7 linked regions of the Nothobranchius furzeri genome follow. Each later gene encodes a partner of the first gene's protein in a complex. Links are inferred from orthologs where the notes say so. Each region holds a gene or a part of one and is shown on either strand. Other genes may lie near its edges.

The links.
Region 2: med1 (region 1) and med23 share a complex: the UniProt entries of both Homo sapiens proteins name them as parts of the mediator complex. The link is inferred for Nothobranchius furzeri from reciprocal best matches to the Homo sapiens genes MED1 and MED23.
Region 3: med1 (region 1) and med31 share a complex: the UniProt entries of both Homo sapiens proteins name them as parts of the mediator complex. The link is inferred for Nothobranchius furzeri from reciprocal best matches to the Homo sapiens genes MED1 and MED31.
Region 4: med1 (region 1) and med19a share a complex: the UniProt entries of both Homo sapiens proteins name them as parts of the mediator complex. The link is inferred for Nothobranchius furzeri from reciprocal best matches to the Homo sapiens genes MED1 and MED19.
Region 5: med1 (region 1) and med18 share a complex: the UniProt entries of both Homo sapiens proteins name them as parts of the mediator complex. The link is inferred for Nothobranchius furzeri from reciprocal best matches to the Homo sapiens genes MED1 and MED18.
Region 6: med1 (region 1) and med8 share a complex: the UniProt entries of both Homo sapiens proteins name them as parts of the mediator complex. The link is inferred for Nothobranchius furzeri from reciprocal best matches to the Homo sapiens genes MED1 and MED8.
Region 7: med1 (region 1) and med7 share a complex: the UniProt entries of both Homo sapiens proteins name them as parts of the mediator complex. The link is inferred for Nothobranchius furzeri from reciprocal best matches to the Homo sapiens genes MED1 and MED7.

What each region holds. Positions count from the first base shown.
Region 1 is NC_091756.1:39,214,156-39,217,902, forward strand, and holds part of med1 (mediator of RNA polymerase II transcription subunit 1), read right to left. Parts: intron 1,873-3,747; coding exon 1,709-1,872; intron 1,615-1,708; coding exon 1,503-1,614; intron 1,343-1,502; coding exon 1,218-1,342; intron 1-1,217. UniProt on the Homo sapiens protein: Component of the Mediator complex, a coactivator involved in the regulated transcription of nearly all RNA polymerase II-dependent genes.
Region 2 is NC_091742.1:26,117,119-26,121,550, forward strand, and holds the start of med23 (mediator of RNA polymerase II transcription subunit 23), read left to right. Parts: upstream 1-1,409; 5' UTR 1,410-1,492; intron 1,493-2,101; exon of another isoform or gene 2,102-2,235; 5' UTR 2,236-2,237; coding exon 2,238-2,288; intron 2,289-2,565; coding exon 2,566-2,597; intron 2,598-2,728; coding exon 2,729-2,816; intron 2,817-2,900; coding exon 2,901-3,025; intron 3,026-3,300; coding exon 3,301-3,412; intron 3,413-3,650; coding exon 3,651-3,749; intron 3,750-4,296; coding exon 4,297-4,398; intron 4,399-4,432. Other genes in the region: il20ra (interleukin-20 receptor subunit alpha), read right to left, coding at 1,206-1,254. UniProt on the Homo sapiens protein: Required for transcriptional activation subsequent to the assembly of the pre-initiation complex. Component of the Mediator complex, a coactivator involved in the regulated transcription of nearly all RNA polymerase II-dependent genes.
Region 3 is NC_091750.1:26,556,494-26,560,733, reverse strand, and holds the start of med31 (mediator of RNA polymerase II transcription subunit 31), read left to right. Parts: upstream 1-1,268; 5' UTR 1,269-1,418; coding exon 1,419-1,443; intron 1,444-1,710; coding exon 1,711-1,785; intron 1,786-1,858; coding exon 1,859-1,955; intron 1,956-4,240. UniProt on the Homo sapiens protein: Component of the Mediator complex, a coactivator involved in the regulated transcription of nearly all RNA polymerase II-dependent genes.
Region 4 is NC_091741.1:91,561,672-91,565,065, forward strand, and holds part of med19a (mediator of RNA polymerase II transcription subunit 19-A), read left to right. Parts: intron 1-1,362; coding exon 1,363-1,496; intron 1,497-1,579; coding exon 1,580-1,676; intron 1,677-1,757; coding exon 1,758-1,852; intron 1,853-3,394. UniProt on the Homo sapiens protein: Component of the Mediator complex, a coactivator involved in the regulated transcription of nearly all RNA polymerase II-dependent genes.
Region 5 is NC_091745.1:72,040,879-72,045,097, reverse strand, and holds med18 (mediator of RNA polymerase II transcription subunit 18), read right to left. Parts: upstream 2,819-4,219; 5' UTR 2,534-2,818; intron 2,209-2,533; 5' UTR 2,192-2,208; coding exon 2,119-2,191; intron 1,345-2,118; coding exon 788-1,344; 3' UTR 688-787; downstream 1-687. UniProt on the Homo sapiens protein: Component of the Mediator complex, a coactivator involved in the regulated transcription of nearly all RNA polymerase II-dependent genes.
Region 6 is NC_091756.1:57,827,885-57,832,122, forward strand, and holds the start of med8 (mediator of RNA polymerase II transcription subunit 8), read left to right. Parts: upstream 1-1,247; 5' UTR 1,248-1,302; intron 1,303-1,447; 5' UTR 1,448-1,564; coding exon 1,565-1,570; intron 1,571-1,799; coding exon 1,800-1,921; intron 1,922-2,415; coding exon 2,416-2,560; intron 2,561-2,634; coding exon 2,635-2,775; intron 2,776-2,871; coding exon 2,872-2,959; intron 2,960-4,238. UniProt on the Homo sapiens protein: Component of the Mediator complex, a coactivator involved in the regulated transcription of nearly all RNA polymerase II-dependent genes.
Region 7 is NC_091742.1:50,786,288-50,790,582, forward strand, and holds med7 (mediator of RNA polymerase II transcription subunit 7), read left to right. Parts: upstream 1-1,429; 5' UTR 1,430-1,571; intron 1,572-2,774; 5' UTR 2,775-2,783; coding exon 2,784-3,548; 3' UTR 3,549-4,098; downstream 4,099-4,295. Other genes in the region: itk (tyrosine-protein kinase ITK/TSK), read right to left, coding at 66-203. UniProt on the Homo sapiens protein: Component of the Mediator complex, a coactivator involved in the regulated transcription of nearly all RNA polymerase II-dependent genes.

The sequences.
Region 1 (3,747 bases):
AAGCACTTTATTGGGTACACCTGTCCAACTGCTCGTTAACGCAAATGACTAATCAGCCAATCACATGGTGGCAACTCAATGCATTTAGGCATGTAGACAAGGTAAAGACGATCCGCTGCAGTTCAAACCGAGCTTCAGAATGGGGAAAAAAGGTGATTTAAGTGACTTTGAACGTGGCATGGTTGTTGGTGCAGACAGGCTGGTCTGAGTATTTCAGAAACTGCTGATCTTCTGGGATTGTCACACATGACCATCTGTAGGGTTTACAGAGAATAGTCCGAAAAAGGGAAAACATCGAGTGAGCGGCAGTTCTGTGGGTAACAATGCCTTGTTGAGGCCAGAGGAGAATGACCAGACTGGTTGGGGCTGATAGAAAGGCGACGGTAACTCAAATAACCATCGTTATAACCAAGGTATACAGAAGAGCATCTCTGAACATACAACACGTCGAACCTTGAGGCAGATGGGCTACAGCAGCAGAAGACCACACCGGATGCCACATCTGTCAGCTAAGAACAGGAAACTGAGGCTAAAATTCACACAGGTTCACCAAAATTATACAATAGAAGATTGGAAAATGTTGCCTGGTCTGATGATTTCTGCTGCAACATTCGGATGGGAGGGTCAGAATTTGACATCAACAACACAAAAGGATGGATTCATCCTGCCCTGTATCAACAATTCAGGCTGGTGGTAGTGGTGTAATGGTGTGGGGGACATTTTCTTCGTACACTTTGGGCCGCTTAGTACTGATAGATCAATGTTGCAACACCAGCCTACCCGAGTATTGTTGCTGACCATGTCCATCCCTTTATGACCATAGTGTACCCATCTTCTGATGGCTACTTCCAGTAGGATATGCACCATGTCATAAAGCTTGAATCATCTCAGACTGGTTCCTTGAACATGACGATGAGTTCACTGTACTAAAATGGCCTCCACAGTCACTAGATCTCAATCCAATAGAGCACCTTTGGGATGTGGTGGAACAGGAGATTTCCATCATGGAAATGCAGCCGACACACCAACTGTGTGACGCTTTCATGTCAATATGGACCAAAATCTCTGAGGACTGTTTCCAGTACTTTGTTGAATCTATGCCATGAAGGATTATGGCAGCTCTGAAGGCAAAAGGGGGTCCAACCCGGTACTAGCACGGTGTACCCAATAAAGTGGCCAGACGCACACACACACACATATTAAAAAGGGTGACTCACAAGTGGCATTGCCCATCCTCTGAATGAAGGAGAGCGAGAAAGGCATGGGGCGGTTCATCTTGAGGAAAAAACTTGCAGGCAGGTCCACACAATTGGCATTGGTCACACTGGAAAATGAAGGAGTGCTACAAATGCAGAAAAAATATATATACATATGATCATTCCACTTTCTTCCTGCTTGGGATGCTAAAATAAGAAGATAATGTTTTACAAAGTGAATCTGAATGCTTACTATATTTGCTTAATATATTGAGAACTTTGTCAAAATGAGATACATTCTTTTACCCTTTGTTATCAACGGCGTGGGTCCCAGTGATGAGTGGCGCTATCGGGAGCTTGTACACAGCAGAGGTTCCCTCAATCGTCACAGAGACACTGACACCTAGAGTACGTGGTACTGGGGAAAAAAGCGTCCACATACAAAGAAAAGACAAGTCACACAAAAAACCACCTGGGGAGTCATTTGTTATCAAGTCCATTCATCAACTAACCTATGTTTTCATTTAAGTTGAGCTGAGAGCTTGCTTCCACCTCGAATATGTCATAAGGTGAGACGTAACACTGAAGAGTAACCAGATGGCCGCCGCTCCTGGCTGTCAGTAAGCCAACGGTCCCATGAAGGATCGTGTCAACTGCGTTAGCAGCTGTAGCTACGCTAGAATACATGCAAACAAAAACAATCAAAACAAATAACCAGAGAGATTTTTACTGGGAATGCACAATATATTGGTATCAATACCAGCATCGGACAATGTTAGTAATTTTGTAACATATCGGTCCGACAAATAAAACTGGGGCGATGTTACCAAACCAATATTTTTTTGTTTCCATTTGTTTGTCTGTTTCAGAGGGTGAGGGGGGTGATGTGGATTTGTTTAGTCATGTGGCAGTGATTGTAATCATTTCAGAAGCATAACTGTGTGTGCGTGTGTACATAATGATGTAAATTCAGCTTTAATAATTTTCAGTCTATACAAAATCTGCAGATTTTAGAAGCATTAATGTCAGTATATTGGTATCGGTAAATAACGGTTATCGGCAGTAACAGTGGTATTAATATCGGATATCGGTATCGGCCCAACATTTTCATATTGGTGCATCACTCATTTTTACACAAAATCAATAATTCACAAGACAGTTTAGGGTTAAACTCTTGGGCATACTCTTTAACTTTAATGATTACCATCTACTCAAACCAATGAAAAAAACATTCAAAACATTATTAGACAGTAAAGACAGTCTAAACCAAAAATATTATTTTACAGTGACAAAAAAACAAAAACAAAAAAAAACCGTTCTAATAGGGCTGAACGATCTACCGTTTTTGGACCAAAATTGCGATTTCAAACAGCACGATCACGTGACCGTCAAAGCTGCGGTTTTGACTGATCCAGGATCAGTTGTGTAACTTTTTTTTTTTTTACATCTGGGGTTTTCCCCGTGTTATGGTGGCGGCAAAAGCCAGCACGGGGAGGGTGGGGTGGGGTGTACCGTCCAGAGCCGAGCCCAACTCTACAGCTGGCAGAGCTGCATGTTCAGGTTATTTTCCCTGTTTTATGTTTCCACACGCAGCGCTGCTAGAGCCGATAATAACCGTAGGTGAGCCCGGGACACAGAGAGAAAATGTAGCTGAGTAAGGGAGAGAGAGACTCCTCCCACATCAGCAGGTTCAGGCTGATTTCTAAAGCTTGGTTTATGCTTCATCAGCGCGAGTGTGGAGTCGCACACTTTAGTTGACTTGAAAGCTCAACTTCTCTTTTAAAAATGGTTTGAATGTTTCTGATGGCACACGTTAGTTCAAACTAGCTAAGGTGTCAGAATGCGTGCGTCTCTCTCACGGAACTGACGTTTCAGTGAGGAAAAACTACCAGACGGCTTCGAAAAACATGCAGCCAGCCTGCCGCGGTAATGCAGGGAAAACTGTGTGCATTTTTATTTAATACATATAAAAGCTATTTCTACCTACAGTTTTCCTCCATGCAGTTTTGGAGTAGAACATGTTTTTATAAAGCTCCTCTCTAGATAAAAATCACAAGCACAAGTTGCTTCACAAACACATTAAAAATAAAAATAAAAGATAATAATGGGAAAAAATACTAATAGCTTTAACTGTTTTTATTGTATGATTAAATAGTAAATATTAATGTGAATGATTTGTTATACTAGCTTAGAATCTAGACCATCTTTTCACTTAATCTACAGGATGACTTGGCAGGCTAATGTTGGACCTTTGTTTGCAGAAAATCGTGAATTGAACCGAAATCGCAATTTCTTCTAGAAAAATTGCAATTCAATCTTTTCCTAAATTCATTCAGCCCTACGTCCTAATCTACATTAGAAATTACAACATATGCCATTTTCTAAATATGAGTCAAAATGCAATACTGGGAATAACTTGTGAGAGGAAGCAAGTTTTTTCTTTAACTCTCACTGCCAGCCGTTTCCTGATCACTAAAGGCCTTCGCTGCCAGTGTTTCTCGCTGTTTTTACTGTTTTTTAAGAGTCACAGAACGTTGCGCGCTAGGATGAT
Region 2 (4,432 bases), on another chromosome or scaffold:
GCATCTCTGTTTACTTGAAAGGAAACAACACGATCTTTATGAAACGTGCATTACAGGAACTACGGTGTAAACCTATACTGGCTGACAGCTAAGCACCCATTATTATCATGAAACCAGACTGGGTCACATGAAACAACTTAAAACTCAAAACTACTCACTTGAAATTTTATACTAAATTAATTGAAATGTTTGGAAACTTTGTGCAAATATATATATATGTGCAAATATATAAATATATATAAATATATATATATATATAATTTATTTTTTGGGTTGCAATGCATTCGAGCATTCTCTCGAGTTCATAAACTATAGCTCAGGAGGTTAGGTGGGTTGCCCAGTAATCGGATGGTTGCAGGTTTGATTCCGGCTCCCACCAGAGAAGAGAAGGGTCAGGTGCTGTTGCCAGAGAATGCTGCTCTTGTGTCCTTAGGCAAGACACTACCGGTCTTTCCGGCTGTGGTGGTCGGAGGGACCGGTGGCGCCACTGTATGGCAGATGGGCAGACCTCGCCTCAGTCCGTGCGCTCCAGGGTGTGTGTGTGTGTGTGCATGGACGTAATTTTTGGGGGGGGCGGGGGGACATGTCCCCCCCATTTTTTCCAAAGTCAAGTTTGGACCCCTGCACTTTTTACCATCCAAAAACAATATTACGCTATATTAAATTGACACTCGTTGAGGTCTAGGACCAGGCAGAAAACAACCGTTTGTGTTGAAGCCTGTTTCCCATTAGAACATACTGTAAAGACCCCCCCCCCCTTGTGTCCCCCCCACTTCTAAAGTGAAAATTACGTCCATGTGTGTGTGTGTGGGGGGGATGACTGATGATTGTGAAGCGCCTTGGGGGGTTGTTAAACCCTAAGAAGGTGCTACAAATCCATGTACCATTTACCAAAGAGACAGAATCGGAGAGAAAATTGCTGCATTAAATAAATTTCATTTTAGTAATATATTCGACCTCTTTCTGGTGTTTTCTAGCGTTTTGAATGACTAATTAAAATTCCTTGTGATCTCAGAGTTCTGTGGTAATTTGCGTAAACATGAAGTTTTCTGTTTTGTTCATTAATTTGATGTTTTACTGACTGGATTGTAGCCTACTTTAAATGAAACACACTTCTCGCATGTTTAGCAACAACAAAGCAAGGCAAGATTATTATTTTTTTCATAAAACCTTTTTTTCTCGCGTTAATAGTTTAACAGTCTCACCTGCGGTCCGCAGAACCACAAATCCGATCAAGACGATCTCAGTCCACATGTCGGTGTGGATCGACCATTTTAATGAGAAATCTGCGGTTTCTCACCCGTTGATCCTCTCCTGTTTCTCCTCGGGTTTAAACGCAATCAGATTAAAAACACAAGAAGATAAAAGTGTCTTAAGTTGGAGGGAACGCGGACTGCCACGATTAAACCTGTAAAGCCACAAAAATGATGCCTGGTTTCCGTGTTTAGGAAGGAATGTGATCTCACTGGTCGGAGCACATACACCTGAGCAGGTAGTTATGTGGAATGGTTCTTCACGCGCCTCTAGCGTCTGCCTTTAAGTTTTTCATGTTCTTTTTTATAATGGTTAATAATATGAATTTATATTTTCACATTTTCAAACAGTTTTTGTGACATTTACTTGATTGCAAAAGCAGTGATTTGACGGTTTTCACATTGTGCCTCTCCCTTTTCTGTATTTTTGTTTAGTTTCCCCTTCTTTTATTTCCTCAGTGACTTACTGTGTATCATGATGCAATTGTACAATGGGATAATTATTAACTAGCTAAAGAGATGATAAAACCATCTTTGCTGTGTCCAAAAGATTTATATTAGACCTGGAAGAACATCAAAGTTTATTCACTCAGATCTAGAATATCTTATCTGTCTGAAAGACGTAAAGTGACAAAGAAAACAGAAACACATCTTGACACATACATCTAGTCACCAATATTTACATCTCTTCAGTTGAAAGTTTGTGTTTCACTCATTAATAAAACTTAAAGAGAAATAGACTATAATAATTTAACAATAATAATTTAATTAATAGACTTTTATGACGATTCATAAGAGCCAAAAGACTAAGTGAGGCGGAATCTTTGTCTCGTGCTTCGATGCATACCCGGAACGTTTTCGTGGTCGGTCGCGTGTCTCATGTCTCATGGCGGAATTTGTTGCTGTTAGCATCTAGCTTGCTGGCAGCTCTGTGTTAGGTTCCCTGTGATGTTTGGATAAAAATACACGTTTCATATCGCAGAGATGGCGCTTTCCATGGAGACGCAGCTGCAGAGCATCTTTGAAGACGTTGTGGTAAGTTGCAATTTCTTAAACCGGTTAACAATTTAGCTAACGTTTATTAGCATCTCAAAGAGTGTTAGCCTATTCACTGACACTTACTGAATTTAGCATACACTTTCAAATTATTGATCTAAATCATAAATGCAGTAATTCAGAAGATTAATGGGGAAATATATGTGAATGTAAAACTGTTTTAGTTTTATTTTAATTGTCTAAATTGGACATTTATGTGTTTTTCTAACTTTGTTGGTGTTAGTAAATCAGCAATCATATTTTCCTCTGTTTACAGAAAACTGAGCTGATAGAGGAGGCTTTTGCAGGGTGAGGTGGCTCAAAATTCATTTTCACACTTATTAATTATATAAAAACTGGACAAGAGGGCTCGGCTTAGAGTTTTTTTGTGCTTTTATTTGCCGTTAAAATGGGGTAGTAAACATAAATGCTGTTTTTAGGATGTTCATGGACACTCCAGAGGATGAGAGGACTAAACTGATCAGCTGTCTTGGAGCATTTAGACAATACATGGGAACCCTGCCGCAGGTTCTACATTTGTACTGATAATTAATCTGTCGTTTTTGTAAAAATAAATAATTAAAATTTATTTCACTTCTGTCATTCCACCAGGACTCCCATGAGAAGTGTGTGCAATGGATTGTGCATTTCATACACAGTCAGCACAGTCCCAAAAGAATCTCATTCCTGTACGACTGTTTAGCGATGGCAGTGGAGACCAGTTTGTTGCCACCAAGGTTCATACTCACACTCATCCAGGGCACATTGCATCTTATGCCTTCATTTAGACGAAAATACGTCATAATTACTCCAGTGATATTTTTGATGTGACTGCAGAATTACTGTCTGTTCTTTTTCCTGAGGAATACAGTAAACTAAATTAGATTTTTTTTATGTTATTTCGTATTTGGTGACTTTCATGTTACTGTTGTTAAAGCTGATTAAGCACATGCACATCAGTGTATTTTAAATGTATTAAACATGCATCTAAGAGAGGCTGTTTTGTTTTTAGGATGGTGTGTGTTGCTTTGATAACCTCGAAGAGTTTTCAGTGGGAAAAGACGCAGCTGTGGGCCTTAACTTTCAAACTGATCCACAAGATAATCGGTGGCGTGGACTACAAGGTTTCTGACACTCAACGCCAGATGCAGTTTAAAAAAAATGCCTTCTTAATGAATATGCTGTGCAGGAAAATGTTGTTCTTGTTTATTTGTTGTGGTCAGTAGCAGATGTGCCTTGTAACTCTGCTGAAGGTTTTCGTACTTTAAAAGAGGTTTGAATACTAATTTTTGAAGTTTATGAAGGACAATATCAGTAAATAAAAATTCTAAATCGACACCTTTGCTTTGATCTGTGTTTTAGGGGGTTCGTGATCTGCTGAAAGCTGTACTGGATAAAATACAATCCATCCCTACGACTGTCAGTTCTGCCATAGTCCAGCAGCTTCTTGCTGCTAGAGAGGTGCCCTCCTTTCTGTTTACATCTTCAGTAGTTATGTTTAACTCATTCACTGCCAGCCGTTTCCTGATCGCTAACGGCCTTCGCTGCCAGCGTTTCTCGCCGTTTTTACTGTTTTTTAACAGTCACAGAACGTTTCACGCTAGCATGATGTCGATGCCAAAACAACCTAAACAAAGAGGAGACTCACCTCTTACATCAGGAAGAATCCGTGTGTTTAGAGCGTCATCCGTTCTTTCATAATCCGTTGTCGAATTGTGATCGGCAGACGCTTTTCCGGTTCGCGCCTCACTTTTTTTTACAGGAACGCCCCAAAACAATCTCCTAACACATGGATGTGTTGCTTCCTGATCATGTGATCTGTGACGTATGTGGATGAAGATCGGCTTCAGGGCTGAGATGTTTGTTCTCTCAGCGCGGGGGCTCGTTCCGATGCTCAAACAGTAAAAAAAAATGCAAATTGGCAGTGAATGAGTTAAAAGACATTTTGTGTAAATATGACTAAAAATGCCAGTTTTATTAACATGTTTACATTTGTTTCATATTCCAGGTGGTTGAATATATCCTTGACAGAAACGCCTGCCTCTTGCCTGCATATTTCGCTGTTACAGAAATCAGAAAACTTTATCCAGAGGGACAACTCTCACACTGGGTGAGTAGATCTCTTTATTTTATTTTCCTCTCAT
Region 3 (4,240 bases), on another chromosome or scaffold:
TTGTGTAAACTTTATTTTCATACTTTACAATGTAGAGTGAAAATAAACTTATCTTTGTGAGCAAGTTTTCTCTGTAGAGTATAAATAAAACAAAGCTGCGCTCAAGGCTCACACAAGAACTTGAATCACATCCAATGACATGGCGACCGTAGATCAAGGCAGATCAAGGAAGCACAATATCACAGAAGCAGAAGTTGAGGTACCTGTGGGTGAGGTGGAGAAATGAAAGGAAGTACTTTTGCAAAACAAATAAGAGAAAATCCACGGAGAGACGCAGCGTTGCTGAAGCCGTCAATGTTGTAAATTCTTCAGAGAGATCTGTGGCAGATATAAAAAAGATGGTCCAATCAGGATTCGATTCCCAGACTCCCAGGTGAAAGTCACATGTGCTAACCAGTCAGCCAAATGGAGATCTCCCCTATTCAACTAGCCAGGGTGCATGATAAATCGAGTTACAGTAACAGGACACACACTGTCACAGACGCATGACATTCCTTCTCAATCTGTCCCCCTGCTGATATTCTGCATTCCGTATTCTGCGCGTCAGGCTGTGTGTGTGTGTGTGTGTGTGTGTGTGTGTGTGTGTGTGTGTGTGTGTGCGTGTGTGCGTGTGGGGGGGTCTTGTTCTGTGTGAAAACGAAGCAGTACAAGTGATAATGCTGCAGGATTTCATAATTTTATTCTTCTCAGCAGCAGCACTGCAGGTGCTCTCCATGTCCAAAATGTGCGTAAGCCAGGTGCTTAGTCATCTTAAAGTTGTGTACATTCTTCCGCTAAGTTTTCTTTCATAAATCCCAAAGTTTGCTTGTAAAGTTGCTTACACAGTTTTCCGACCCTGTTTGTGAGTAAGCAAGCTTTATAAATGAGGCCCCAGGGCTGGGCAGCCGTTATAGGGGAATACCACACTGTTAAGACCCTCAGTTAGTTAGTTAGTTAGTTAGTTAGTTAGTTAGTTAGTTAGTTAGCTAGTTAGTCTGATAGACATTAAATGGTTATGCAATTACTATAGTTTTGAACTATAATTTATAGTTATATTCTTCACCTAAATAATGGATGAGTTTATTTTTAAATGTTTGCTTAATCCAGCTTTTCTAAGGAGAAATAGGTCAATATTATATTATATTATATTATATTATATTATATTATATTATATTATATTATATTATATCATGTGTGCTTTAACTGCCCTCAAATAAATTCTGTTTCTATTTCTGTGGCTACCTCTAGTGGTCAGAAAGAAGCACTACAGCAGCCGTAAACTGTAGTGAATGTCGTGAAGGACGCTCGGTTTCCCGTCACAAGAGTCCGCTTACGTTTGATGGCGTTTGTTAAACTTAAACAAAGACGGAGGCTCTGAAGATTTGTGCTTTCTTAGTTTTGTGTTCAAATTTGAAAATATTAGGTTTATACCCCAGTCAATGACTCCTGTTGTCATGGAAACAGGTTGGTAGTGTATGTTTTAGCTTCGGTTTTAAACGGAGACAAACATTCCGGTTTTAAACTATTATTACAGCAGTTACGTTGATTTTTGGTTAATATGCGAAGCCGTTAGTTTTAAAATTCGTGTTGTTTTCCCACTTTTAGTGTTTTTAGTTGTTCGAACAAGTTTTAAGGAAAGTATAGAAGCACTTTAATAAAGTGTCTGGTTTTTAAGTGGAGTCTGGTGAACTAAACGTGTTTTCTGTTGTGCCGGATGTTTATGTGGTCCAGATGAACAGGCTCGGAACCGATTCCAGTCCGAACTGGAGTTTGTCCAGTGTCTGGCCAACCCGAACTACCTGAACTGTGAGTGACTGATCCACAGCGAGAGAAGCGGGTTCCTAACGTTCACAGAATGAAACATCTGGTTCTGTTTCAGTTCTGGCTCAGAGGGGTTACCTGAGGGAGAGACCTTTCATCAACTACCTGAAGTACCTGCTCTACTGGAAGGAACCTGAATATGCCAAGTTCCTCAAGTAAGAAGGGTCCGGGATCCACAAGCAGACCAAGCTGGTCGTACTTTTGGCTCATCGGGGAACTCATGTTGTTTTTAAAGAGCAAGTCACCCCTTACAAGAAGCGCACTTCACTCCCACTTCATGTTTGAAAAATGCAACAAATGCTGTTGCCTAGCAGACCGAGAGGGTGGAGCCACTAACAAATACACACACTCACGACATTGTGACATCATAATGTACCAGTTTACATCATAGCATACCTCTTAGCCAATAGCGGTGGCAGATTTAAATTCAAATGCAGTGCAGAGTTTTTACCTGACAACGGCACAACACTGACAGTTTCAGGCAGAAAATTAAAATTTTAACTAAAATACACTAAAGTGCAAAACTATTGACTACACGTGTCTGCAGGACAATTAGACACGCATTTATATAGTTTATCAGAAAAAAAATAGTTGATTTGGGGGTGACTTGCTCTTTAAAGAGCAAGTCACCCCCAAATCAACTATTTTTTTGCTGATAAACTAAATAAACGAGTGTCTAATCGTGCTGCAGACACGTGTCGTCAATAATTTGGCACTTCAGTGCATCTTAGTTAAAATTTAAATATTCTGCCTAAAACTGGCAGTGTTGTGCCGTTGTCAGGTAAAAACTCTGCACTGTATTTGAATTTAAATCTGCAACCGCTATTGGCTAAGAGGTATGCTATGATGTAAACTGGTACATTATGATGTCACAATGCTATCGTGAGCCTGTGTGTGTGTGTATTTGTTAGTGGCTCCGTCCTCTCGGTCTGCCAGGCAACAGCATTTGTTGCATTTTTCAAACATGAAGTGGAAGTGGAGTTATTAGACTCTGGTAGGGGTTGACTTGTTCTTTAAAGTGACGATCAGTCAAACACTGCATCGGTGTTTCTTCTAAGATGTACATGGGGCCACTGGGGTACGTCTCATCATGATGAACCCCCCTTCAAGGACATTGCAGTTGTCCTGGATATTTTTACACGCTTTGTTGTTGTTTAATAAAAGGTGGTTTTCCTGAAAAGTAGGGATGCTCCGATCCAGTGGCGTGATTTTAAAAGGATCGGGAGAAATTAATCAAATTTAACCTTTTAAAACAACAAACGTGACTTTTTTTAATTCATTCTGAGATAAAGAATTTCCAATGGAATACTACCAGTTTAGTTTTAATTTCAACAAGTTCCTCTACATCAATATTCTTTGTTTCGTATGCAAAAACAGCACCTTAACATCACACAACTTACATCAGGCAGAGATTCAGACACCACGCTGCAGCTGTTAGCAAACAGGCTAACGTCTGCAGCATGGTGGTATTTTAAACCGGACAGAAAAGGCAGAGCAACAGCCACGTGTAGTAAGTGCATACTGGGCATTCAACATGCTGGAAGAATGTTTCCATGATTCTCTGCCTTCAAACAAACTACCTTCTCTTTCCCCTTTGGGTGTCAAAATGAATCACCGGTCTCCATTAATTCCCAGTTTGCCACTTACAGTCCCAGTTCACAGTGAACTCGGACAAAAAAGTGGAACCAGCTGACAGAAAGGTACGCTAATATATGAAAAAATAATTGCATACAAACATGTTTCCTGCAGCCCCAAAGCCCAAAGCACAGGTAGGTGTTGTGCGTTAAAAGTTAGCCTATCAGCAGAGGTGCCGCTTACCTTATCCGTTACGGGATTGTGCATCCATCAGTCCAGCTGCATAATGAAGGAGGAAACAACCTTTAAATATATTCACAATGTAAACGCGTTTTTAAATCGGTGTACTTCCCAAACAAATGAAAGTGACAAAGGACAACTTGTAAGTGTTTTTTTATCTTTTTTTATTTTGATGCTTTGCTGAAAACGATCGGATCAGGAGCTAATAAACATGATCGTAACACGATTTCTTAAATGGTGGCTTTACAAGTAAACGCACAACTTAGACAATCAAAAAATGGGTACAGACAGAAGCTTATAACCCCAACCCCCCCACACCATATGAAGCTTAAGCTAAAATTTAAGAGTAGCATACTGATACCATAAGAGTTATACACCAGAATTGAAATTCATGAGCATGTATTCAAATCCACATTCTTGCTTTAAAAATAAAATAACCGTTAACACTTTCTGCAATTTTTCATTGACATGATTCATAGTATTTAATCACATTTAAAGTAAACATACCTTGAACTTGAACATCCCTTCTGAAGTGAATCATGAGTGGACTTTTTAAAACAAACTCATCAGAATTTTTTTTTATCTAATCGATTGATTAATTGAAAGAAGATTTGATAGAATGGTC
Region 4 (3,394 bases), on another chromosome or scaffold:
CATGGTGGGCCTTTTCAATGATTTGTAATTAATGTCTGCATCTTGATGCATCGATTATTGATTAATTTCCTCAGCTGTACCTGGTAAATTTCTGAGTTTACTGTGGACTTCAGAAAACACAATGGACCAACACCAGGAGAGGACATGGAGCCCAAATCATTAGATATCAACACCACACCTGGACTTGAGGCTTACTCTGCAACTTTTTCATATTTTTACATCGTTTTCTTTAGCCAGTATGTACTAAAATGACCCTTAGGGTGAAAAAAATGTCACTCAGACCCCCACCGCCCCCTGTGGCCAGAATATCACACTTGCAACTTGTCCGGTCCCTGATGGACTTAGTAAAGTGGAACTGACATGCTTCTTTAGCAATGACTTTCTATGGTTTCCCTTCCTTGTGGTAAAAAAGTTATCCGTGCATCCCTAATTTACATAATAGGTCAGATGAATTTTTTTAAACAAGTGACAAAATACTATACTTTTTCAGGATTTTCTACCTGTATTTGTCATCGTTTAAGCCAGGGGTGTCAAACTGAAATTCACTCTGGGCCAAACTGGAGAAACTAGAACAAAGTCATGGGAAAATGTTTATGGATGCAAATGCTTAAAATTTTCTTTATCTTCTGATTTGTGTTGTTGAATGTTTTATATGGAAACAAACCATAGTCTTGCATTAATAGTTACTCTGGAATAACCAAAGTTTAAAATTAACAACACACGGGCAGTTAACTTTGAAATAAAACACATCAGATGGAAACTGAGCAGAAGCCACAGAGTCAAATTTGAGCGTTTTACTACACCGGAGCTCATTTGGCTCCATTTGGAGGTTGCTTTCTGCGCTTTTCACGTCGGCCACAAATAGATTACTGAGCTGTTGAAATCTTGATATTTGGGCTTCAAAGTTGGCAAATTGCTGGGTGCTAACTAAGCAGTCATTTTTTTGTTTGTCTGAGACCGAATCTGTGGTCTCCAGGTCCGCAGCCGTACCCTCCTCGAGACTGGTAGCATGGATGCTGCTGATAATGCAGCAAAGCATTCTGGGATCTGTAGTATTGGCAACATATGCACTGGCAGGTCAGTTCTCGAGGGCCAGGGTTTGACTCCAGTGGCTTAAGCTATAGTTAATCTAAACCTGCATTCTGACAGGTGCTGGGACTTCTGGGCGCTCTAATGAATTAGACTTTGAGGGCTGAGGCTGTATCTCTAAAACCAAAAGTTTAACTTTCATTGTTTCTGATTTGTTGTTTTTTTTTAGCCTCTTTAATCTCACCTGGACTCCTCACTATGGCCTGTAAATTACACGGATCCCTTTCAGCCACGCTCTTTATTTCCACTTTTATAGTGTCTCTTTTGTTGCAGGTATGATCGACTGTCCGGGCACTCAGGACGGCAGCTCTCTGCGCTCTCTGATAGATAAGCCTCCCGTTTGTGGGAACTCGTTCAGCCCGCTGACTGGTGCTCTGCTCACAGGATTCAGACTACATACAGGACCGGTACCACAACACTGATTATGCCTGATAATAAATGATCATCTTATCCCCGTTATGTAACATGTAGTGTTTTTTTTTTTTTCCAGCTTCCAGAACAGTACAGACTGATGCACATACAGCCCCCAAAGAAGAAGAGCAAACACAAACACAAGCACAATCGACCACAGGACCCCCTCCCACAAGGTCTGGTGGCGTGTTAGTGAGGTCAGCTGAAACAAGTGCTACGTGTTTTTCACCACACTGACACGTCTGTTCTGATTTTAGAAACTCCGTCAGACTCTGATCCCAAGAAAAAGAAGAAAAAGAGGGACGATGATCCTGACCGCAAGAAAAAGAAGAAAGACAAGAAAAAAAAGAAGGTGAGAAAATTTTAAACACTAATTAAGTTTCTAGCTGGGCATTAAAAAGATTTAAAATGTTGACTCGGAATAGCATTGTGACATAAGTCGCACAGCAGTTTTGTTTTTTCATCCAGTTCTCAGTATTAATGAGTACACCCCCTTTGAAGAGTACAAATTTAATCAGTAGCTCAATGAACTAAAAAAATTTTCCAGAATTTTAACAAGGCTGGGTTTTATTAAACACTTGCTTAACTCCATAACATGAAATTAAGGCTATTAATATGACTTGGATCACAAAATCTTCAGTTTTGCTAAAATTGGTTTTAGCAAAAAGGAATACACCCCTCAACAAAAACTACTACATCAAGTCTTCTAGGCATGGCATGAACAAGATGGTGACATATTGCAACATCGGGCTGCATGGTGGCACAGTTGTTGCACTGTCGCTATTTCTGCGTGGAGTTGCGTGTTCTCCCCATGCATGCTCGGGTTTCCTCCGGGTACTCCGGTTTCCCCCACAGATCACAACATGCCCTATAGGTTATAAATTGTAAGTCGCTTTGGATAAAAGCGTCTGCTAAATAAATAAACATAAACATTAACATCTATCTTTTTCCATTCTTCAAGAATAACGTGTTTTATAATCTGGATGCTGGATGGAGAGTGATGCTCAACCTTCAGAATTCCCCACAGGTGTTCAGATCAGGAGACATACTTGGCCATTCAATCACCTTCACCCTGTTCTTCTTCAGAAATGCAACAGTAGCTTTAGATGCGTTTTGGATCATTGTCGTGGTGGAAACGTGCACAATGATTCAAATTCAATTCAATTCAAAGATACTTTATTAATACCAGAGGGAAATTGATTGCTGTAGTAGCTCAGAATAATAATAATAATCAAGTCATCAAAGAGTTATTGTATATTACAATGGCTGTTGGCAGGAAGGATCTCCAGTAGCGGTCAGTGTTGCAGCCAAACTGAAGAAGCCTCTGACTGAAGACACTCTTCCGTTGTCGGACAGTCTTGTGAAGAGAATGCTCAGGGTTGTCCATCATTTTCTTGATTCTCTGGAGAATCCTTCTTTGCATTATCCCCTCCAATGATCAAGTGCATGGAGTGATGGCTGCATCTTCTCCTTCAGTATAGAACAGGACATCGTTGAGTTCATGATGCCATCAATGAAATGCAGCTCCCCAACACCAGCAGCACTCATGCAGCCCCACATAAGGACACTGCCACCACCACCACGTTTCACTGTAGGCACCATGCATTTCTCTTTGAAATCCTCACCTTTACAACGCCATAGTTTTGAAACCATTACTTCCACAAACTGTGATCTTTGTCTCATCACTCCAGAGTACAGAGTGCCAGTAGTCTTCATCTCTTTCAGCACGGGCCCTAGCAAATCCTAGGTGTGCTTTTTGTGCATGAGCTTTAGGAGAGGCTTCCTTCGTAGACAATACCCATGTATGCCATTCCTCTGCAGTGTGCGTTGTATGGTGTCATGGGAAACGGTCACTCCAGTTTGGCTTTCTACTGCTTTAACTAACTGCAGTGAA
Region 5 (4,219 bases), on another chromosome or scaffold:
TCAACTCCAGCAAATGCATCTTCCTGCAAGGGTATTATTAGAAGCACTCATGTCTTTTTTGCCAACATTATTATCATAACTGACAGGATGTGCATTAGTTACTTCCATCTCTGCAGGCAATTGGCCATAATGTTGACACACTAGTATACAGCCCTCTTTTTTTTCTTCTTCCAATTTCATCGTGAACAGTTAAGGACCCAAGGCAGCTGTGGAGCTTTCATGTGTAATGGTTCCAGTTCAATTTCCCATGAAAAAGGGGCACTAATGGGTTAACAGTGGAAACGAGAGGGGCAGGGAGCGAAAATCAATGCTTTTGTTGAGGGAAAGAAAGGAAGGCTTTCACAGGTCTATGTATCATTAAGCAATTGAGAAAGCTAATTAGAATGAGGTAAAAGATGTGCAGATCTCGCAGCTAATTATTTCCATGGCAACCACAGCTCCAGTAGATGATGAGAGGTAGCATTCAATTTGTTCCAATCAAGGCAAAGACAAGAGAAAGAGAGACCCCTAGTGGACGGAAAGAAAAACGTCCACAGCAAAAACCACCTCTTATTCAGTAAAGCATTAAAAGGTTCTTTGAATAAATAGCTTTAGCTGTTAATACACTATAATTTTCATCAACATGAGGAATAAATGAAGCATTTTTTAGATAGTGAAACAAATTCAAAAACAAATAAAACTCTCGAATAAAAGTTGAGCAGTATTTTATTTTCTATTAAGATAAAAAACAAACAATTAAACAAAAGTAGCTACATTAAATGAGTCCATGTTAGTCTGAATTCTACTTCTAATGTCTCTGCTTGCTTGGGTCAATCTTCTCCAGGTGAATCAGAGGTTTCAGTTGCTCTGCAAAGCTGCGCATGTCCTCTGAAACCGTGTCCTGGCCAGCAGGGGCCAACACGCTCAGTTCAACTAGGTGCGAATTTGACATTCGCTCTGTGTTTTCCGTGTTTCCTGGTAGCTGGACCCGAGAAACGTTGCAAACCACCACTTTCATAGCTCCTTTGCGAAATATGTGGCCGCTGGTGACAAATTCGTGGTCCATGCGGAAGCCCATCTCGTTCAGGAACTCTGGAAGGCTGTGAGAGGCAGCCACGTCAACGCAGTTGCGTACCAAGGCGTAGCGGTTTTTGTCTCCCACTTCAGGTTGGCCGAGATAACGCAGATGCCATGGAGCATTTGGGTGGGAGAGGGCGCGCCGGGCACGCAGGATAAAAGGATTTCCCTGCTGGCCTTTCAGAAGGTACACCAGCTCATGGTCTGTGAAAGTCTCGGGTTCCATGTTGTCACACAGACCACGGAGGCGATGCAGCAGGCTTTCCAGAGCCAGATCTAACACGCTGCCTGGATTCAACAAAAACAAAGAAAATAATGCTTCATTGAAGGAAAAATAACAGCAATCATTTTCTAACATGAATAATTCAAAAATAAAACAAACATCTTATGTCACTCAAACTTTATCTGAAACAGTAAAGGTATAAAACATGTATTCTATAATCAGTCTTCATCAGAATATGTTTTTCATGTAACACGTTTCCTTAAACTGTCAGATTAGAGGTTAATCCAGCTTTTGAGGACTTTTTCCACAGTTATGCTTTCATGGAAGCAGAAACAAGATTCTGAGATTTTACAAATTAGTAAAAATAAAATGACTAATAACTGATAGTTTCAGTTTATGGTAGAAGATCTTTTAAATCTTAGTTATCACCTACAAATATGTGTTCCTTATGCTGTACATCTTTGGAAACCCAATTTAGTATTTTTATTTTGTTGCTCTTAGTGGTTTGAAGGTTACAATAATAGCTTACTGCCGTTGTGTATGTACCTGCACTTTTGTTTTTATTTTTTTCTTCTTCCTTTTCTCTAAGCGTATGTTCTGCTCTAGAGTGAATGTCCCCCCTGGGATTAATAGCCTATTCAATTCAATTTAGATTTTTCCCCATTAACAGTCATCCATCTTTCATTGTTGACATAATAGCTGATATAAAATACTACATATGGCCACTAATGCAAAACTGACAATTGTATAAAACGTTGAAATGTCTGAAAAGTAATTTTTCTTGTGTACTTAAAAAGCACTCAGGGAGACTATTTTTATTTTGTATCTCACTAACTCACCTTGTAACAAATATTCCATCATATTAATCGTCCCACCGGTCACAGGCATCACGGTAACAGGAGGGGCCTCCATCTTTTCTCAGGTATCTGCTTTTGTCCCAATTTAAAAAGAAAAGCAGTCAGTAAGCTTAGCTCAACATGCTAATAAATAGCTAAATATTTCACTTTAAGAAAAAGGTCGAGGTGGTTCTAAACTTATTTTAATCAACACTTTGCATGCTGGCTCACTGTTACTTGATAATATGCAGAGCTTAATGTAAATAGCTACTTATGATGTTAACTTGTTCGTTATGCTAGCTAATAGTTAAAAGGCTAAATTATGTTGCTAAGCTAAATCATTCATACAGTTTGCGACTCCCCCAAAAAGTCTACTTTTACATGAAAAATAGCCATAAAGCAGAATGCTACTCCGTACCTGTTAAGGTAAACCAGAATAAATGTTGGCGTAATGGTTTGTTAAAGACCCGGTAAGCCTCTTCCGGTTAGCATGTAGCGTTAGCTAACCGCTAGTTCGCCAAGTTTTTACGTCAGCAACATACAAATGAGTCACTCCAGCTGTTCAAGTAAAAAATGGAGGAAACGTAGTCAAAATAAAACCACCCACGCATGTGGAGATTAGACAAAACATTCAATATGCATCAAAAATACGAGAGCATCTTTCTTTGGCTTGTTTTTGAAGCGCGTTACAACCGCTATGATAACACTCTGCTGCCACCTACTGGAGAATGACGGTTTTACAACATCTATGTCTAAAAACTACGGTGCACAAACGAAATGACAGGATCTTCGCATTAATATTCCACATTTCCTGAAATAAAAATAGAAATGAAGTTCATTCTGCAACTGCAGAAAGTAAATTAATGATCCAACAGTTTATAAATAATCATGAAAAAATAATCAGTCCAGTCACAACTAATCTGTTTCTCTATTATGATTTTATTCAGTTGTCTTCATCAGATCATATTTTAATCGCTTATAACTCTTTCTCAGAACGTCATTTTAAAATATCGGAACAGTTTCTTAAAAATAAATTCACTTCATTGTCTTTGGAAATTTTTAAACATTTAAAATTTAAATTGTATTATTTTATTCATAAATTCAAAATCTGCAAAATGAGAAATGTATCCACATTTCAGCAATATATCGTAACATATTATGGAAGAGTATGTATAAAATAAAATATATTTTAAATGTAGAAATTTATTTATTTATTTATTTATTTATTTATTTATTTATTTTGGGCAAAAATTGAGAAATTTTAGATTTTACCTCCACAACCCTGTGGGAGTAATAATTATACATACAATCATATTAGAAGTTGTTGACAAATTGATCACTAAATCAGAGGACAGTGTGGAAACTACAATCACTAACTCTTCAGTTTAGCTTTCATCTCTGCCAGGTGTGTTTCTACTACACTTTTATTTCACCATAAATGCAGTCAGTTTCACATGCATATCTATGTCTTCTTGCGGGAGGTGCCTTGATGACAAGAGAAGAATAAATAACAGTCGGGTTTTCTTCTTCTTCCTGCAGCATAAAACAAGACATTAATTACCTTAGCAAAACATCACATGTGGTATTTCATACATACACTTTATAATACTCATCATACCTTGCTGCCAAATCCGCAACAAGAGCTGTGAAACGGAAATGCTGAGGAGAGACAGAAAGAGAATCAGGTTGAAGGGCAAACCACTGTGCATGATTAAAATCTATATGTAAATTACAAAAAACAGGAAGTCTCAACGAAAACCTACAGCTGCAAATCCTACCTGCTTGCAGTCTTGATTTGAAGCAAAAAATCACGAGTGCTGTTACAGCTAGACATGCCGCAGTGATTGATACTCCATAAATGGCTGGAAACGTGTTTTCAGTCTCCTCAGATTCACCTGTAGAGTCAACAATATGTTTATTTTAATTGTTTAATTTTAATTTAGAATTTAAAAAAGAGGGTCGCGGCATTCACTCGCCTGCTGATGTGTTTAAAACTGCTGATGCTGATGTGTAAGTGCTGGTAACAGTCGTGCTATTGTCCAAAATCTGACCTGCCGTACAAACGAAAACCCCAGATGGAGCTACGTCCACTGATATTATCGTA
Region 6 (4,238 bases), about 19 Mb from region 1:
AAGGCATTTTGCACTCACAATCAGGCAAAGCCTTAGAGCTTCTTTTATTTAGGAAGGCACACCCAGAAGTTACAGATCAACCCCCACACACAGTTCTTTAGAACCAGCTGACCGGGGTAACCTAATCAACAGATTGTTGGACCTTCATCTTGTCTCAGGAAGTTACAGATAACAGGAGGGTGATCAAAGAGGTCATTCTTCACCACTCTAAAATGTGATCAAATTGATGACCTTCTGTTTAAACAAACACCTACACTGTTACATCAATAACCCTGTGATGTCAAAATCAGTTATATCCATCATGAATGAATACATTCATAAATTAATTAATTAATGATTAATTATTAATTAATTAATATAAATATATATATACTCAAAATAACAATTTGTTCTTGTTAATATTTATAATAACAGAAATACATATATTAGAATATATAATATAAATTAATATATTTATAAATAAATAAATTGACAAATCAATTAATTATTACATTGAATGAATGAATACATCGATAAATTAATTAATTATGGATTAATTATTAATTAATTGCTATAAATAAATATATTCAAAATAATTATTCATTCTTGTTATTATTTCTAAGAACATAAATATATATATTAGAATATATAATATAAATTAATATATTTATAAATAAATAAAATGACAAATCAATTAATTATTACATTGAATGAATGAATGCATAGATAAATTAATTAATTATTGATTAATTATTAATTAATTGCTATAAATAAATATATTCAAAATAATTATTTATTCTTGTTATTATTTATAAGAACATAAATATATATATATATATAAAATATAATATATGATATATATGAATATATTTTTAAACAAATTAATTGATAAATCAATTAATTATTACATTGATAAATGAATGACTGAATGAATGAATACATTGATTAATTAATCACCTCACACCTTGACTACTGTAACTGTCTTATTTGGTGTAAGTCAGAGTACTGTAGCTCGCTTACAGCTTGTTCAAAATGCTGCAGTGAGATTTTTGGAAGGCAAGAGAAAGTATGAACACACGACTCCAATTCTGGCTGCTCTGCACTGCTCCCTGTCAATTTTAGAATTAATTGTTTAATGGGTTGGCCCCTGCCTATTACAGCCACATGTTCCTGGTCTGGCACTCCTTTCTGTGAACCAGTTTCTGCTCTCGGTTTCCAGAGTTCAGCTGAGGACAAGAGGGGATAGGGCGTTCTCGGTAGCGGGCCCGAGACTATGGAATGCCCTTCCCTTAACCACTAGGCTCTCTCTCCCCATGAGTACAGGTTTGTAAAATACTACTTTTATGATCTGGCTTTTAACTCTGTGGGTTAGCTGTTGCTGATATTTTTACATGCTCTTATACTGTTATGTGTATATTGTTTTTTAGTTGTCCCTGCTGGTTTTATCTGTTTTATTTTGATTGTATAGCACTTTGGTGGCATGGTTCAAGCGGAGCTGAGGTGGAACATATTTTGGGGACTCATATTTTTGTAACACCGGAAGTGATAAGAACGGTTCATCAGAGGCATCCGGCTAAGATCAGCAATGCAGGTAATCGTTGATAATAGGAAAATAAAGTAAAACAAATGTAGGCGACATTGTTGTAGTTTATTATGTTCACTGGTATATCAAATATATTTGCTCTTTAAAGATAATTTAACTAGCCTTCATTTGCGAAGCTATGTAGCACGTAGCTTTTCCCTGCTAACATATTTGTTGTCTCGTTTGTTTGTCAGTCATCAAAATGAAATAAAATGATCGTTCTTCACGTGTCTTTCAGCAAAGGGAAGAAAAGCAGTTGGAAGCCTCTGTGGACACGCTGATCTCTCTGGTGGCTCACGTTAAAAACGCTCTGCAGAGTTTTATTGCCAAGTTAGAAAATGAATATGAGCGTTTGACCTGGTAAATTATTATTATTATTAAAATAGAAACGTACTATCTTATCGGTAAAGAAATGCAGCATTAGATGGGTGGCCGGTGATGCCTGTGCTTGGCAGCCTCAGCTCTGTCAGTGTGCCACAGGGCAGCTGTGGCTACATTATAGCTCATCACCACCAGGGTGTGAATGTGTGTGTGAATGGATAAATAATACACTTTGGAATCCCCTGACTCTGAAAGGCGCTATAGTGTGGGTCATTTTCATTTGATATTGCTGTGGTTGGTCTAAATTTCTAGGCTAGTGAAATGGTGCTGCCTGATCACGAAAACAATCATGATTATTTTTGTTCCTGTTGGTCATTTTTTAGTGCTAACTAAGGATGAAATAAAAATTGTAAATTAGGTTAATTGCACAGTCCTTAGTGAAATAACCTTAGTTTAAAATATTTTAGTCCAGATGCGGATCTTTTGATTAAAATTTCCTCTCAGACGCTACTTTGTGTTCTGCTTTGACTCAGGCCATCTGTTTTGGATAACTTTGCACTCCTCTCTGGTCAACTGAATACCATCAACAGACTGCTCAAGAATGAGAAGACGCCATCTTTTCGCAGCCAGGTTATTATTCCGTTGGTCTTATCTCAAGAAAGAGATGATGACTTAGCGGTGAGTAGCAGCATCTCAGTCTCATCTACTTATTTTTGAGTTAAGCTCACTAATAGCTTCTCACTGCCTCTCAGAAACTCACAGAGAAGCGTGTGCCGGTGTTCAGCCATGAGATTGTTCCAGACTACTTGAGGACCAAGCCTGATCCAGAGGTGGAGGAGCAGGAAAAACAGCTGAGTGCAGAGGCAGCACGGATAGGTCCTGATGCAGCACAGGTTGTGTGGAATAATATTTTGTGTCCTGTTAGTTGTCTGATTTGATAGCTTTCATCCGGCTCTGCTTTGTTTACCTTCATTTGTCTGCATGAACAGAAACAGATCCAGACTTTGAATAAGATGTGCTCCAATCTGCTGGAGAAGCTAAACAACCCACGGGAAGACCGAGATGCAGAAAGCGCAGGTGTGTTCAGGTTTTGCTGCACATTTTTTTACCATTAGAAAAAGTTGTTTAAAAGTTAAAGTCCCATTAGTCGTCACACACTAGTGATATTTTTTCTCCGCATTCGACCCATACGCTGGGGAAGCGGTGAGCTGCAGACATGGCCGTGCTCAAGAACCATTTGGTGGTTTAACCTAGGGCTGCTCAATTAATCGAAGTTTAATCCCAATTACGATCTGAGTTTTGAACGATTATTAAAACAAAACAAGCCAATTATTTGCTCCTCCCACTTACGCTGTCCTGAGTTGCAAATGAAGCGCTCCTCCTTGATGCTATTTCTAGCAGCTTCTCAGACCCCCTTCTTGACTTTTTAAATCTTAAAAGTACCTAGCAAACACCTCAGAAACATCTCTGGAAACCCTTAGCTACTTTCTGGATAACTGTCGTGGACATTTCCTGCAGGTTAGCTAAACACTCCGCCTGCGCTCCGGACCGTTCTTCAGGACATTAGGAAAGGGAATGATGTAGTGATGTGTCAGTCGCTAAGGAAACGGCTCACAGAGCCGACTCCCTGTTAGAGTAACCAGAGTGAGTAACACACACACCGCACCTGCGGACTCCTGAGCCTCTAAAAACAGCTAAATGTGCGCGTGCGGCGTGCTAAACACACGTGCAGCTTGCCCCCGATTGCTGTGAGACCGGGTTGGGGGGTGCAGCTTTGGTTGGGACAATTATTACATTAACTGATGGACCTGTAAATAAATAGTTTATAAATAAGGTAGAAATAAGTTCCTCACGCTGATAAATAATAACTAATCTCTCTGAGGACACGGTGCTAGTGCACTCTCCTACAGCACCTTGACACGACTCAATAAATGTTATGCAACATTTTGTGAACATCAATTTATTTGCGTTTATTTGTTATAAATGCCACTGTATAATTCTTGCTGTCAGTATTTGCAAGATATTGGTATTTGGGTCTGTACTGGTTAGACTAACATGAGTTAAACCAAGGTCTATAGCCCTTGGGTCATAGACTATGAGCTATAAGTATATTGGTCTTTTTATACTGGGAATCAGGAGTTATTTTAGTGATCATCTTGTTTCTCATTTATTTTTGTCCTGATTGTGCCCTGAGCAATTTTATGACAGAATAAAATCAACATAAATTGAAAAATCGTCTTAAATAATCGAGATCTCAATTTCAGTCACAATAATCGTGATTATTATTTTTGCCATAATCGAGCAGCCCTAGTTTAACCCCCCTAATCCAACTCCTTAATGCTGAGTGTCAAGTGGG
Region 7 (4,295 bases), on another chromosome or scaffold:
TTCAACGCCATAGAAAATGTGACTTTAAGAAAACCACATTTCAATACAAAATCGTGTGGACTTACCCCCGGACGGCACTCCGAATACTTCAGATCCTGAGTGTCCAACACAAAAAACCTCTCTTTGTAGTTATTTGGTGATGTTCTTTTCTTTTGCTGGGATTTTTTGATCATGGTTCCCCTCAAAATCACCCTGGGGAACATTGTCAAGAAGAACGCAGCGAGCGTCTGCGAATGGTTTTGTCACAAGCAGAGCCTCGCAGAGTCAGAAGAAGAAAAGGCAAAGTTGTGGATGATAAACTTCGTAGATGCTGTGGAGCTTCCGGCGTGAAGCTGCGGCAGGCAGTAAACCACATCCTTGTGGCAACAAATGATTTGCGCAAGCAGAAATACACACTGTTTGATGCACAAACACTGTAGATGTCTACCCTGCACATGTACTTTCACTAATGTTATAGAGAATTAACAAGTTAAGCCCAAAGCAGGACTGTGAATGCAGAAATCCAGGTTTTGGTAGTACTTTTTTAAACAATTGGGAAGATAAAATGAGTAACAAAACACAAAACATCACTGAAAAAAGTTAAGATAAAGAAATATCTCTCTTTCTCTAAATGTGTCTTTGCATTTAGGGGTTACACGTCAAAATATTGTTATTTTTCAGAGAAGTTTAGACTGTTTACAGTGAATGCAGTCCATTAAATTCTTGATTAAAGTAAAGAGTAAAAACTACTTAAGCCACATAAAAATTTACAAAACTCATCTAGGTGACAAGGAGTAAATAAATAAACGTGAGCAAACCGGTTCGGAACATTAGGAATTAAAATGCTGCTCACTATCTTTTCACAAGAGAATAATAGAATTCAGTTTGTCATTATCAACCCAATTTCTTTTTAATATCGATATCAACCCTTTTACACCGTTCTGTTTGTGGCAGGTGTTTCACATACATAAGAAATCACAATCATCTTTTTTTATTATTATTATTTTAGGATAAAATTCATAGATTTCTGCAGATTCTGAAAGAGGACAAACAGATCACAACATGCCCTATAGGTCATAAATTGTAAGTCGCTTTGGATAAAAGCGTCTGCTAAATAAACATAAAGAACAAACAATAACTGACATAGTTTGTAAAATGAGAACCCGAAGGAATTAATATACAGGTTATTGTTTTTATGTCTTTAAAATTAGTATTTTCATTCAAAAATATTCAACAGTTATCTGAATATTTTAGTAACTTTTCTTTTTCATGTATAAAATCAGTTCAGTTTGGGCATCAAACGGTACTTTTTCCATCGATCCTCTGAAGAACAAAGTAAAAGAAAAACAAATTTTTCCGTGCTTCCGGATATTTCTACCAATCAGCGTTGAGCTCTTTCTGTGACCGCACCCCAATCAGCGTTAGGAAAACAATCACGAGGACAGTTCAGCCAATAGAAATCAAACAGAAACGACTGGTCTTTTCTGCATTTATCGAAGAAGCTATGTTAGCCCTGATCTAATTTTCCAACGATATTTGATTAACGTTATTATTAGAAGTATATGTTGTGTTTCTAAAGGATTGTTCTTAAGGTGGGTATGAATACATTTACTCCCTTCTCATTTACCTTTTATGTAGTTCGCTTCATTTTTGACGTGCCCAATTAACTACCGGGATTAGCGGTGGCTATAGTTAGCTAGGTTTCTGTACAAAATGCAGCGGTGACGCTAACGTAGTTCTGCTTGTAGTGTTTGTCAATAACACATTGAGTCCGTAACAAAATAAAGGTAACACAGAAGACAAAGGTTCAATGGTTAGGTGCGTGCTAGGAGTTGAATTTGACTACTTAAATACCTAAGAACAACGTTTCAGCCAGATATTAAACCTATAATTATTAACTATGGCTAATAAAGCCTAATTTTACTTCAAACTAGATTGCAAATGTTTTACGCCAAAATGAGCAGTAGTGTGTATACTATAATTTACGTGTCATTTTAAGTTCATATCTACTTTTCCTACCAACAACAGCAGTAGGTGCAACTTAAAAACCCATCAGAATCTAGTTTTGCTTTGAATGTTTTGTGCTGGACTGGTGCTGCAACACATTAGTTTAGATTTTAGACTAACACTTTACTGGAAGTGTATGCTGATTATTGAATTTGCCCCTCCAGCCTAATGATAGAATCCTGCAGTTATTGGGAGAATGACGTTTGTCGAATTTTTAAATATATTTTATGTACAAGGATTTTGAGAATCTTTTATCGAAACTCTCAAAAAGTAAATCAAACAATAATAAATTCTTAATAAAAACATTTTATTTGTTACTGCAGTTTACATTTAACAGTATTTATTTGTACAAATGAGGGGCATTCAGGCTTTTACTACAATCTGTTATGTGTAATAGTGTATATCTTTTGATGCAGAGCTCTACACGATATGCTGTTACCTAATAAGTTATTGTGCTCATTAGGTAGCTGTAATGTATTGTGTAGTAGTAGTAATCAGCTGATAATGTCATGTTTTTCAGCTTAGCCATCAGCCACAGCTGGTTCTACATGAATGTGGAGCCGAGTTTTAATCTGAAGATGGAGATATAACTATGGTTTTGGGCTGAAATATTAAATTTAGAATAAGTTGCACTAAACTGCCACACTGATAATTGCACATGTCTACAGCACTATTAGACACTCATCTGTACAGGTTATCAGCTAAAAAAAAGTTCATTTAGGCATTTCTTGATCTTTAATAGTGCCTGGAATTCCTAATAAATGTTTTTTCTTTTTCTATACTTTCAGGTCTGCATCATGGGTGAACCACAGCAGGTCAGCGCCCTGCCTCCACCACCTATGCAGTACATTAAAGAGTACACAGATGAAAATATCCGCAAGGGTCTGGTCCCAAAGCCGCCTCCACCCATTAGAGACAGCTACATGATGTTTGGCAACCAGTTCCAGTGTGATGACCTTATCATTCGACCTCTGGAGAGCCAAGGCATCGAGAGGCTCCATCCAATGCAGTTTGACCACAAGCGGCAGCTCAAAAAACTAAACATGTCAATTCTTGTGAACTTTCTGGACTTGTTGGACATTCTCATCAAGAGTCCTGGCAGCATAAAGCGTGAAGAGAAACTGGAGGACATGAAGCTTTTGTTTGTTCACATGCATCATCTTATAAACGAGTACAGGCCACACCAAGCCAGAGAAACACTGAGAGTCATGATGGAGGTCCAGAAGAGGCAGAGACTGGAGACGGCAGAGAGGTTCCAGAAGCATCTGGACAGGGTGGTGGAGATGATCCAGGGGTGCCTTGCATCTCTACCTGATGACTTACCCCAGTCGGATGTAACAGACGGTGTGTGTGTTGGGACCAAGAGTGTGTCTGCTGGATCTAGTTTTGGTTGTTCTTCTGGACAGGCCCCCATTCTGAAAACCGAACCAATGGATGTAGAGGACACGGGCGCCAGCTGCATGGCTGCAGGTGATCAGGACAAGAATGTCCCAAGTTCAAAAACAGACAAAACATGGGACAAGGATGCTGCCATGTGTAGTATAATAGATGAGATAGCATGAAGATTTACAGCACATGCATGTTTTTACTTTTCACTCAGCATGAAATACTTTGTGTGGGATAAAAATACTATTATTTGTACATGTTCTTTTCAAATTCAACTAAATGTACTTGTAAATATTTCCTTAGCGTTTAAATCTTATACAGATCTTTGTGTTCACTGGGCTCAATAAATCTATTTGAAACCGCAGCAGGAGTTTAGTGCCGTCACAAAAACGATGATCTAATATGGTTCCACATAAACACAAAGTGCTTTTGTTAAGAATTTGTTGCTAATTCTGACGCTGTGGTTTGCTGATTATGCATTAGCGGTAGATGCGTAGATCCTTTAGCTAGTCGGCATATCAAAGAGCTTGATTCATCAGAGACCTGAGTAAAATTTAATTAAGTCATTCTGCCTTCTTTTAAAATGTAATGCAATGTAGACAAGTTTAGGGTTGGGGTGTGCTGAATTGAAAGGTGACATTTGATAGGTTTACGTCTGTCAGTCGTCTGTACATGTGATACTTTATACATACACTATTTTTCCAATAAAAATTCAAATAAAACCTATTTAATAGTGATGTGTCGGTCGCGAACGAACTGGTTCTAAGAGCCGGCTCTTTGAAGTGAACGACAGGAGCCGTCTCGTCATTGGGAGCCCTCCCCTCCCCCCTCCCCTTTTGCTTTGGTGAAAGCTGCAGGCGATTAGTCAACATGTGTAACTACGTGTCCAGACTGTCCACACACAGAGCAGTAGGGGTGGGGAA